Linked DNA regions of Tribolium castaneum. The protein of the gene in region 3 interacts with the protein of the main gene of each other region in a biochemical or structural test. Links are inferred from orthologs where the notes say so. Each region holds a gene or a part of one and is shown on either strand. Other genes may lie near its edges.

Evidence for each region.
Region 1: of the proteins of Ubc7 (region 3) and Uba1, one has a biochemical effect on the other in vitro, tested with the Homo sapiens proteins (5 studies listed by BioGRID, with this or other methods). The link is inferred for Tribolium castaneum from reciprocal best matches to the Homo sapiens genes UBE2G2 and UBA1.
Region 2: the proteins of Ubc7 (region 3) and E3 ubiquitin-protein ligase MARCHF6 form a complex in vitro, tested with the Homo sapiens proteins (2 studies listed by BioGRID). The link is inferred for Tribolium castaneum from reciprocal best matches to the Homo sapiens genes UBE2G2 and MARCHF6.

Annotation. Positions count from the first base shown.
Region 1 is NC_087394.1:32,761,187-32,765,637, reverse strand, and holds the end of Uba1 (ubiquitin-like modifier-activating enzyme 1), read right to left. Parts: intron 3,680-4,451; coding exon 2,978-3,679; intron 2,928-2,977; coding exon 2,728-2,927; intron 2,364-2,727; coding exon 1,581-2,363; intron 1,479-1,580; coding exon 702-1,478; 3' UTR 362-701; downstream 1-361. UniProt on the Homo sapiens protein: Catalyzes the first step in ubiquitin conjugation to mark cellular proteins for degradation through the ubiquitin-proteasome system.
Region 2 is NC_087399.1:3,030,121-3,034,502, forward strand, and holds the start of E3 ubiquitin-protein ligase MARCHF6, read right to left. Parts: upstream 2,816-4,382; 5' UTR 2,614-2,815; intron 1,413-2,613; 5' UTR 1,409-1,412; coding exon 1-1,408. Other genes in the region: elg1 (ATPase family AAA domain-containing protein 5), read left to right, coding at 3,153-4,382. UniProt on the Homo sapiens protein: Endoplasmic reticulum membrane-associated E3 ubiquitin ligase that plays a critical role in mitigating endoplasmic reticulum stress, the regulation of cholesterol and lipid homeostasis, and ferroptosis.
Region 3 is NC_087394.1:30,806,765-30,809,679, forward strand, and holds Ubc7 (ubiquitin-conjugating enzyme E2 G2), read right to left. Parts: upstream 1,676-2,915; 5' UTR 1,556-1,675; coding exon 1,513-1,555; intron 1,462-1,512; coding exon 1,380-1,461; intron 1,336-1,379; coding exon 1,217-1,335; intron 1,168-1,216; coding exon 1,027-1,167; intron 981-1,026; coding exon 862-980; 3' UTR 635-861; downstream 1-634. Other genes in the region: uncharacterized protein LOC662537, read left to right, coding at 100-367. UniProt on the Homo sapiens protein: Accepts ubiquitin from the E1 complex and catalyzes its covalent attachment to other proteins. In vitro catalyzes 'Lys-48'-linked polyubiquitination. Involved in endoplasmic reticulum-associated degradation (ERAD).

The DNA.
Region 1 (4,451 bases), about 2.0 Mb from region 3:
TCACTTGAATGAGTTCAATTTCACGAAATATTATATTGTTTAATTTCACAAAACAAAAATAAATACACCACCATTTCGTCAAGTGCGTGTAGGGATACCAACTGTGCGGAGTGCACTGCCTCTTTAATGACCTTGAGCGTTTAAAAAATCCTGATTTTTAAGATTTATTTCGTATTTCCTGGCATAATTTGCACATACGATTAAGGTTGAGGCTTTTGCGCTTTCTGGTGGTCAATTTTGCAGCGTCCTTCTGCCATATGGCAGGAAATTTAATTAAAATACAGGATGACCAACTCCAACGCAGTTGCAGTAAGTTTTAATTTATAATTTTGTACAAAAAAGGAGAAATAAGGAGAGCTCGTAATGTTCAAAACATATTTATTAAATTTCACACATCAAAATATTTAAGAAAATAAACACTATCCTGAACCTACAATGTATCCAGTATCAGCATACGTACGATTATATTGCATTAGCTCATTGAATTCACTCGCCATAACACAAATAATAGAAAATCAAGTGAGAATCACTGGGCAAGTAATAACAAATTCCTACCGAACACGTGTTCTAGTTATGCTTGCAAAAAATATAAATAATTTACAAGATCACAATTTGACAAATACCCAGAATAGTTCAATTTAGTGCACACCTAATAACTGTCATTAAATGCCCTAATACGAATGCAGCCAACACGCAACCATTCAAGGTAGATTATACTTAACATACGGAACTTCGACATCGTTTCCGTCAGCGTCGTTACAACACAGTTCAAACACTAGCGCCTTGACGTGCGGTTCGAGCTTCTTCTTCGACACTCGCTTCACAATCTCGGACATGGGCAACCCCAGGCGTTCCTGCGCCTTCGCTTTGGCCATAAAGAACGAGTACAGCATGCACACGCCCTGCGACAACATCGTGATCTCCAAGCCGTGCTTCTCTTTAAAGTACTCCAAAAACTCGCTCAGAGTCATCTCCCCATCCACCTCAAACCGGTCCCACAACGTCCACTCCTTCCCGCAATACTCGTTCTTGGGGGCGGCAATGGGCTCCGAAAACCCGAAGAACGGCAGAGCCAAGTTGACGAAACCGTTCTTGAACGGCGTCAACGATTTCAAACTTCTCGTTAATTTGTAAAGCTCGAGACAGACGAGGCCGGCGACGACTGAGGTTGTTGTCGCTATAGCTGGGATGATTTTGCCGGCGATCAGCTTGGATTTGTGACGATCGGCTGGAGGGATTTTGTAGTTGGCGGCTCGGAGATTCGAAGCCGCTACTATGAAATCCATGTGGAGGTTTGTGTCGTCGTCCTTTTCGAAATCAAGTGGAGTGAGGCAAAGATTGCCCAGTTCGGCGACCGAAGGTAATTCCTCTCTGATTTGGCCAACGCGGTCCAAGTCGACGCTTGAACCGTTCGTCATTGCCATCTGCGAATCGGTGACGGCGATCTTGACGCCAGATTTCGGGACGAACTCTGGTACCTGCAATTAATTATCATAAGAATATTATAAAACATTGTCTAATTGGATATTAATAAAAAAAAATCATATTTATTTCTTTAAAGCTTAAAGTGGCTGGCTTACGTGAATTTTTTGCACCACTTCGGCGATGTAAGCCCGATCCCTATTCTGCGGTATTCCATAAACCTCGGCTTTCAAATTAGCCGCTGCAAAAACATAATCCAAATGCAAGGTATTGTTCACATCGAATGTGAGTGGTTCGGGACACCTCTTCGGTCCCGACCAGAACAACTGTCCAGTGCTGGTTTTTTGATCCGGCGGGAAATTAAAAAGCAGTTGTTTGATCTGATTTGAATATTGTTCCTCCCAATGATGGCGGGCCCACACTACACAGTCTTCAAAACTCTTTGGCCTATCATCAACTAAAGCTGCCTTGACCGATTCCAGCACTTCAATCGGTTGAACTCCTGGTAATTTAATAGTACGTTCCAAAAATTCAGGATCGGTGAGATATTGCGATGCGTTTTCAGCACTCTGTCTGAAAAGGCCTTCGAAATTATCACGAGCCCATTGGAGAGTGTGTTCGATGGCGTTGGGGAAATTTTTAAGGGTACAAATCGGGATGCTCTTCTCGGGAGGGTCCTGTGACGAACTGTAGGATTCGGTGAGGAAAGGCACTACGACCTGGGTGTTGCCTTTTGTACCCAAGGTTCCGGATTCTAGTAGAGGTTTTCGGTAATAGACACATCGACGGTCCATGTAGATACGAGCGTCAACGTTATCTAAAGCGTTAGCTACGCCGTCTAACGACTCGAAGAAAGTGTCATCGTACATGTTTTCAGACTCGGGGCCCACGCGATTTTCATGGGCGACTATGTTTATGCTCGGGTTCATTTTCTTGATCACCTGTAGCAAAAATAAAGATTTTTTTTATTTAAAGACATTTTTAAATTTCATCTTCAAAAATGGTGGATGCGCCGGGTTACTCATTAAAAATTTAATAACTTAAAAACTAAAAGTGGTAGAGACAAACAGTTTGTTCCAGTGAATTCTGCGGATAATTTTACGTATTAAACCAGCTTATCACAGTATTTAAAACTGCCGAGAATTTTAGTTGGCCTGTTATGGTCTCACCTAGTACAAACCTCTAGCGAAGATAATTGACCGCGTTATTTAAAATCTTTGAAATTGAATGTTTACGCATCTGTGCGGTCCATTTTTATCGTTTTTTACCATTAAATTCGGAATTGTTTCAATAAGATGATTTTACCTTTGCTGCCGTTCCAGATTTGGGACGCTGAACATCATGTGGTCTGAACAAAAACTGTCGATTGAGATTAGATTTTTCAATAAGATCCATATCAGTGACGGTGATTTGTCCACCTTCACCACCAATTCCCATCATAGCGAAATTTTTAAGTAATTCGCAACCGATCGCTCCAGCACCTACTACGAAATATTTCAAACCGCCTGCAAAAAATAAATTAGCAACTTTTCGCCAAGAAATTACAAAAACGCACCTAATTTCTTCTGGAATTCGCTTCCGAAGACCGCAATTTGTCCATCATAGCGTGTGCCTTTCGGTGCCGCCGACTCTTCGGTAATTTCCCCAGCTTCCGTGGGCAAACATTCAATCGCATCGAAATACAACCACTGATAAATCGGGTGAAATTTCCCCGAACAAGCTTTCATAACTTCCTGCGCCACGATACCACCGATAGTCGCATTAATCGGATTCAAATCACCCGCGCACACTTTCGCAAACGTTTCTAACAAGTTAGTGTTCACTTCGGTATCGTTTCCGCCGTCCACGGCCAAAGATTTAGCAATGGACAGAAATTCGGATGCGTCTTCGTTGTTCCACGGTTTTGGTACACGGCCGTGCTTTTCGACGTATTTGTGCAACGCTTGAAAAGCCACGTGGAGCTGCTGTGGATGATCGAATTTCGCGAAATCGGTCATCAAAAATTCGGGCGATTTTAGCGAGTCTTTGAGTGATTTAAACGACAAGGTTTTGGGCATTTTCACTTGAGTGGCAATACCGCCACGCTCGTATTTCGAAAAGTTGGTCGTATCGCCGATGCTGAACGTGTAAGGGCCTAACACTTTGATTTTAATCGGCTTGCAATTGTTCAGTTCGGTCATTCCTTGGACTTCGGAAAATGTGACGTGGTCGCCGTCTTCCATGCCATGGCGGGTGTCGTCAATGCAGGTCACAATGCCTTTGAGAAAAAAAAACATCATTGAAAAAAACACCATTTTCAAACATATTTCGACCATTAAATTATAAAAGTATGACATTTAATGGCAGTGGAAACTAAATTTATTTTACATCTTCAACTTGGCGACAATAAACTTATGTGATGTGGTATTGACTTAGGCATTGAAATTATAACCACAATATCCATTACATTAAATCGATGTTTATTAAGGACAGAAGTTTTGTTACACGGCATCGTTGTTTCGCATGACCTTTACCTTACACGTATCTAAAATCAATTGAAATTCTCGATAGTGAGATTCACGACAGAATTGCGCTAAAAAAATGATGCAACATTTTTCTAATCTTTTATTTTTTTAAGGTATCTGTCTCAATGTCCGATTTGTTTTTAGCTTAGGACGAAAATAAATGTTTATAACGCAGACCACTTTATTTACACAATTATGGTTATTTTGAATTGCGTAGACAAATACCTACTCTTTATACAAAACATTGATTTGCATTTTTTGTTATACGTATTTTGATGACATGTAATAAAAACAGAAAATTAGTGATTTGAAAGAATTTAATTTTAGAGGTCTTTGAGCAAATTTCATCTTTTTTCAATTGTAGAAAAGCTAAAAATAGTACGAATTCATTAACCCATTGTTTATAGACGTTACAACAATGATCATTAAATAGCTGCTTTTGCAATGAAATAAAACAGAAACCAATATAATCAAATAAAAACTGTATTACGAGTAAGCTGCTTCACTACTCTATTAATTTTCTTG
Region 2 (4,382 bases), on a different chromosome or scaffold from region 3:
AAAGAACAACACTACCGAAGATAACCGCCGAGATCAACAATTTCCGTATATGTTCCAAGATAGGTAAATGGATCATTTCTTGAATTGGACTGAAATCAGGGTCGTTGAAGTTGCGCAAGAACCACAACACTCCTGGTCTTAGAATTTCACGCAAGAGGAGAACAAACGAAGCGAAATAATAGACATAGACCATTCCGATCAACCAATGGATGAAGATTGAAGTACCAGGAGCGGCACTAAAACTACTCTCCCTGTCTTTGAGCGAAGCGTCAAACATTGCCAAAGAGCAAATATCCAACCACCAGCCACAAACCAATGGTAGAATTCCGATTTCAACCACCGAAAGCATCGATACTTTAACCACCACGTAACACAAACCTAGGACGCGCTTAGCTTTGTAAAAACCCAAAACACCGGCGACTCGATGGAAGAACACAAAGAAAAGACCAACAGTGCAATAACCGACCAAAGTGGTCAATAAACCTTCGAAATGACTGGCCGAAGCCGCCTCCCTCATATTAACAAGGGAAAGAGTCATTAGACCCATATGGTACGGGGAGTAGGCAAAAATGAGTATAAACAAAGTGTTCAACGAAATGACCCAGAAAACGTGTTCCAGGAACATTAAAGAACCATCAAGACCCAACAAACGCTCCCATGTTATCTCCTCGGCCGCTCTATCCCACTCCATGGGTATCCAATTGTTGTCTTCGCCTCCATTCACTTCATTCTCCTCCTGTTGTTCCCCCTGATTCTCCCCTTGAGGTGCTACTTCTGGCTCCTGTCCGTTGTTCTCCTCCACGTCTTCCGGTATGTTGTTATTCAAGACGGGAGGTGGGGCATCTTCGGCCACGCCCACGTTATCTCTCTGTAACCAATCGGGTCCTCCCCCGTGTAAGATCTGCTCGCGCAGCCACACCAACCCAGCGAATGCGAATAGCGTGCACGTGACGACGAAGCAACCTTGGAAAATGTCCGATGCCAGGTTTTCCATTGAGAGGAGTTCAAACGGAAGGGTCAAGATGGCGTCGACAGTGCCGGCGAAAAGGGCGCGGTAGATCCGACAGGCTGTCAAAGGGACGATTCCGAGCCAAGCGATGGCGACTAGAGTGTAGTGGAGCCAGTATTTGATGGCGGTTCCGATGGAGGAGAGGAGACCGGCGGCGAGGTCTCGCACAGGGAGGCGGCGTGGCATGTCGGGGGAGTAGATGGGAGTGAAGGAGAAACGATAACTGCACAATTCGCAGTATTCTTTGCGCGAGTAACGCATCCATTGCATGAGGCATTCCTGATGGATCCACTTTATGCTGCCCGTGCAGATGCAGGGGTGGAACAGGGGGCGGTCGGGCAAGCCTTCCGAACGGCACACCCGGCAGATGTCGGTGTTGGACAGTTCCGAGTCCATCATTACGCTGAAAAGACACAGTAAAAAAAAAAAGACAGTAACTCAAATATCAAAAAACATTCCTAAAAAATCAGAGGGGAGCTGTATTTTCTCCAAATATATTTGGTTAATATTTTAACTATACTAGATCAAAATTTGTACTAAACAGAAAGTTTTGGAAGTGGCCATGAAAAAGTTTGTGCAAAAACCAGAGTTTCCCGCTAATGCTCTCTCCACTAGATTCTCCCTCTATGCAAGTCCATTATTTTTCCCTTCTTTTTTTGGGAGCATTTCTGATGTAAATAAGTTTAAATCTGGCAACTCTTTTTTTTGACCTGCTATCAGGCACGAGCCACCCCATAATATGAAAAAAAAGAACAAACAAAACAGAAGCATAAATTACAAAAGATGAAGTTTTTTTCCGTTCCTGAAAAGTTAATAACAATTTAATAAAGCATAAAGCTGAAACTAGACCCCTCAAATGAGACAGAATGTTTTTACAGACTTAAATTATTGAATTTCTCGAAAAAACTGAGTTGTGTATCTCTTAACCTTGACCGTTCCTTGCGATTTTCTCATTCCCATGATTGTGATGCAATCGAACTGAATCAATTTTTAATTAGTCCGACCCTGTCCTTGGTCGATTTCTTTATCGTCCAATTCCGGAATAAACTGAATATTTGCATTATCTACGTTCGAAACGCGACGACACCCATGAGAACAATTGAATTGAAAACAAAACAAACCTCCCACTTTGTACTTTGTCGTTATTCATTTGTTTTTCGGCAAAACAAATCGATTTTTTGCGTTCACAAATCAACTGATTTTATCTCAAGGTTACTTTTGCAATTAGAATAATAAAAAACGTTTGTTGTTAGTTAATTATGCCCAAAAACTGATAAAAAACGCATTATCTGTAGTGTGACAGACACAAGGGATTTATTTTTAACATAAAAATCTGGGAATTGTTCCAATGATTCACTTGGCCGTATCAAAGTTCCCCCAATCGTAAACACGGATTTTTCAAGTATATTGAGCCCCCATTGATGCAGTTATGTAAATTAGCAATTAGCAGGCCATGTGTTGGGGGCAGAGACCTCGAATGGCCCACATTTTCAATCCACCGATAAACGAAATTATTATCAAGGGATTACAACTCACACTAATTGATTTTTTTTTGATTAGTTAATAAGAATCAACACAATAAACAAGCTGGGACAAAAAATTACCTGATGTTTTTTGGCACAGGAAACTACTTGAATGTGAAGAACATTATGTAATTTACGGATCCGACTCAAAGATCCATAGTTGCGTGATCACAAATGCTCGAAATTCGACAAAAACTGCAATTTTTTAGGCGTTTTGAGGCTTTTCAGGACGAAAAAATTTATTTTTTGACGTAATACCACAAGACTGACGTTTACTTTCACTCAGGAAGCCAACTGTTGGCTAGTTCGGGAAAAGACCAACCTGACAAAACCACCAGTCACTAACACAAATAATGAGTTGTGCGGGGTTTTACCCTGATATTTTGACTTAAAACAACCCAGTTTCGTATCAGTAAAGATCACAAATCGCGTAATATCAATTGTGGGGCTTGGTTTGTGAATTACACTTAATTTCGTGTTACGTAACCTTAGCCACAAGAAACCTAACCTTAAAGTCTACAAAAAATGTCAACAAAGCGCTGATTTGGCGCCAAGTTTTTTGTATTGTGTTTTAGTGCAGTTTTTAGTGTGTTATCGAAGCAAAACATGATTTAGGAACAATGAAAGATTCAACTCCAATAAAGACCGGTAAAAAATCAAAGAAAAACAAGCACACCAATGAAGAAACCCCCGAAACTTCCCCAAATGGGGCTAAAATCAACGCGTTTCAATTTATGATGAATCGAAGACATCGGAGCATTGGGGGGAATTCCCCTGGGCGTGAACCTGACGCAAACGACTCGGAAACAGCCTCGGATAAAAGTGTCTTAAAGGAGAGGAAAAGTCGGTTTGAGAGCTGGGCGGAGGCCAAGGGGGCTGCCAAACGTAAACGAGAGTACGAGGAAGTCGGCAATTGCATCAGTTACAAGCTGGAGAAACGGGGAAAACGATTGAAAAAGTTGCTAAATATTGATTGTCAAAGTGACGATGAGGTGGTCACTAAAAGGAAGAAGCGGAAAACTGTTGTAATTGAAAGTGACAGTGAGAACGAGGCACCAAAAACACCAACTGCCAACAAAAAGTGGAAATTTAAGATCAAGTTGGCCGTGGATGACAGGAGTGATGTTGAAAATTCGTCTGTCAACAGTCAACGAAATGTTGAAAATGCCCAAGGAAGTGTTGAAAATGCCCAAAAAAGTGTTGACAATGCCCCAAAAAGTGTTGACAATGCCCCAAAAAGTGTTGAAAATGCCCAAGGAAGTGTTGAAAATGCTCAAGGAAGTGTTGAAAATGCCCAAGGAAGTGTTGAAAATGCTCAAAAGAGTGTTGAAAATGCCCAAGGAAGTGTTGCAGACGTGGTGATAGTTGAAAATGCCCCTGTCAATACGCAGTCTAGTGACAGTGGCATTGACGTCATCGAACTCGACGTGGACCCAGCCAACTCTGTTTCCGACGAAAATGCCTCACGCAGAGTTTTACGATCCCGAAAACCGAAAAAATACGATGATTTTCTTCAACTTTCTGATTCGGACGATGAGAAGAAGAAGAAGACAAAAGTGGCACCAGTTTTCTTAAAAGCTGTTCCAAAACCAAAATTAGATCCGGAAGCAATGGAAGCAAGAAGACAGTTTTTGATGAGTGGTGTTCCGTCTTCTTTGAAAAAAGAGATGGAAAAGGTGCGAATTTTTAGTACTGAAGAATCGGATTTTGATATTTTCCCGTCGTTAAGTCACGTCCAGCAAAAATCCGACAATATTTTCTGGGATTTACCCAAAGTTGATTTAAAGCTGGCAAACGTGGAGGAAAAAATGCAATTTATTTCTCCACTTGTCGAAAATTTAATAACTAGA
Region 3 (2,915 bases):
TGGTGATGAACCAATTGGTTTGAAAAATGTTAATTCTTTAACATTGTGTCAATAAACTAAAACATACATGGATGTTTTCTACTCATGAATTTTTTGCAGATTTGCAATCCACAAAGTGGTTCGCAGGGATCTGATCCCCAGTCTTCCATTGCCGAGGAGAATGATCGACTACTTGAACACTCCGCATTATTATTCAGAGCATCTGATAGATGTAGAAGATACAAGTAATGAACAAGTCCCTCCTAGAATCCCTACTCCAGCGATACGACGCGATTATCAGGAAGAAGAAGTCCAAGCACCTATCGTTTCCAACATACCTCTGAACAATTACATTGTTTTGAATAACACAAATCCTCGGCAGTCCTGAGGTTTTCACTTTCTTTTTCATATTTATAGTTATTTATTTTGTTGTTTTGTTAAATTTGTGCAATTAACTTTCAGACCAAAGTTTTAATGTGATTTTAGTATTGTTATGCTTGGAAAGTCAGCTGTAGTTTTTAAGCCAATAACTTATTTATAAGGAAGCAAACGCACATGATAGTAGTTAAGCCAGAAAATAACGTATTTCTTATTAGGTTGTGAATATGTTAGTCACAAAACGGGGTTTTGCGCTAGACAAGACTAAGACTCCTGATGTGAATGGATGCTGCTGTATTTATTTCAATAGCTTAGGTTCCTAACAGACTAAGTTTATGGTTTAACTGTTGTTCAGAAATAATATATTGAAATAAATTTTTTTCTCACTTTAGCGCGGTAACAAGCCAGGCCCTTAGTCTTGAACTTTAAAACTAAACTTTAATCCCCATAAATTATTAAAATTGTAACAAACAGACGTAACTCTCAGTTAAAATTTGTAAAAATTCACGTAGGAATCCCAAGCGTTCGCCTTACAATCCGCTCCGCTATTCTGTTAAATTCCTCCCTATTTTCCCGCCACATTTTCGCAGCATCAACATTTGCTCCACTCTCATCATTAGGTTCTAAAAATCATGTTGAATTTTGTTACTGTTTTGTGAAGAAACGTACCTGCAAGCATGCTGACAACTGAGAGAAGAATTTTTTCAACACTCTGTACAGGAGACCATCTCTCAGCACTTGACTCATAGCCCATAGGGTCATCTCCAGGGGCGTGCAAAATGGAAATACATACTCGCCCATCAGCATAAACTAAAATCTGCTGATTCATCTCCTGTTACAAAAACCCTAATATACTTACTATTAGGGTGAAACATTTCGCAGGTGAACTGCATTTTAGGAGGGCTTAAGGGATAGTCCGGGGGGAAAATGAGTTTAGCTGGGAAAACACCGCCCTCAAAACATGTCCCCTCAGGGCCACTAAAAACCCGTCATATGAAAGTTTCCCTACAAAGACAACTTACGTTATCAACGCTTCCCACTCGAAGAAATTTTCTTCGTTTATTGGACCAGCAATGATACCTTCTGGGGGGTTCAGAGTCAGTTCTAGAAACATAAAACGAATGCAAATAGTTTGAGGTTAGGCTTGCATCTTACGCTTGTACTCGGCCATAAGGCGTCTTAGAGCTGAGCCTGCCATTTTTTATCAATATTTGAACAATATGAGCACCCAAAAATGTGCATTGAATGAATTTAATTATTCTTTATAATATTTTACGTGAGCGTTTGTCAATTCTTAAAAAAAAGTGCACTGCAATCACCAACTCCATCGAACAGCTATAGATCAGACTCAGTAGATGGTACTTTGACAATTTACAGGTTACTATAAGAGCGTAGTTTTGCAGTCATTGCTTAGATGTCACTACCTTAGATTTTATTATTTTTAAATGTTTTATAGATCTCTATAAAAGGTACTTTAAGATTTGACACCCAAATGTCACTACCTACAATTTAAAAAAAAATAGTTTAAGACGTTTTAAAGTTTAAGTTTGAGGCACTTTCTGTTATGTTAGCAACTTGAGATTTTACATGTTTACATAACTTTTGGAGCACTATTACGTCATGTACTTCGATTCCCGATTAAAAAATGTGCAGTGCTACCTCGGTTCCTGATTGAGATACGGGAACGGGACCTATCCCATTCGATAGCCCAGGAAAAATACTACGGCTCAGTAGGGTTTTCACCGCCCCTCTATCTCTAACAGGAACGAAGATATTTCGCATTTTGTGAATTTCAGATTTTCTTCAGTTTTTATAAAAAAATTTGTGAGTGCTAGAAAATTTATGTGAAATTCTGCAAAATTTTAAAAATGGATTTCGTATCAGGATCATAGGAACGCAAAGAGGCCACGAAATTTTTAGCGGCGTTTACATGCAACCAGTTATACATCTGCGTGTATTTTAAGTTATTTATAATTTCTCATTACCCTTTTGCGTTCCTGTGATCCTGATACGAAATCCATTTTTAAAATTTTGCTGAATTTTACTAAAATTTTATTTCATTATCAAAATTTTTATAAAAATTGAAGAAAATCTGCAATTTACAAAATGCGAAATATCTTCGTTTCTGTTGGAGATAGAGGGGTGGTTCTGTCCTTTTGAAAACCCTACCGCCCCGTAGTATTTTTCCTGGGCTATCGAATGGAATAGGTCCCGTTCCCGTATCTCCCTCAGGAACCGAGATAGCACTGCACATTTTTAAATCAGGAATCGAAGTACATGACGTAATTGTGCTCCAAAAGTTACGTGTGCATGTAAAATCTCAAGTTGCTACGACAACAGGAAGTGCCCCAAAATTAACTCGTAAAATATGTTCCAAACAAATCGCATTAAATAAAGACTTTCAACAAAAAAGCCTAAATTTTTTATTAGAGTTTTTTTTCAACCTGTTTTGTTTATTGGCTTTCGAAATTATAAATATTTTGAACATAAGTTTGAGACACTTCCTGTTATCGTAGCAACTTCAAATTTTGCATGCTTACATAACTTTTGAAGCACTA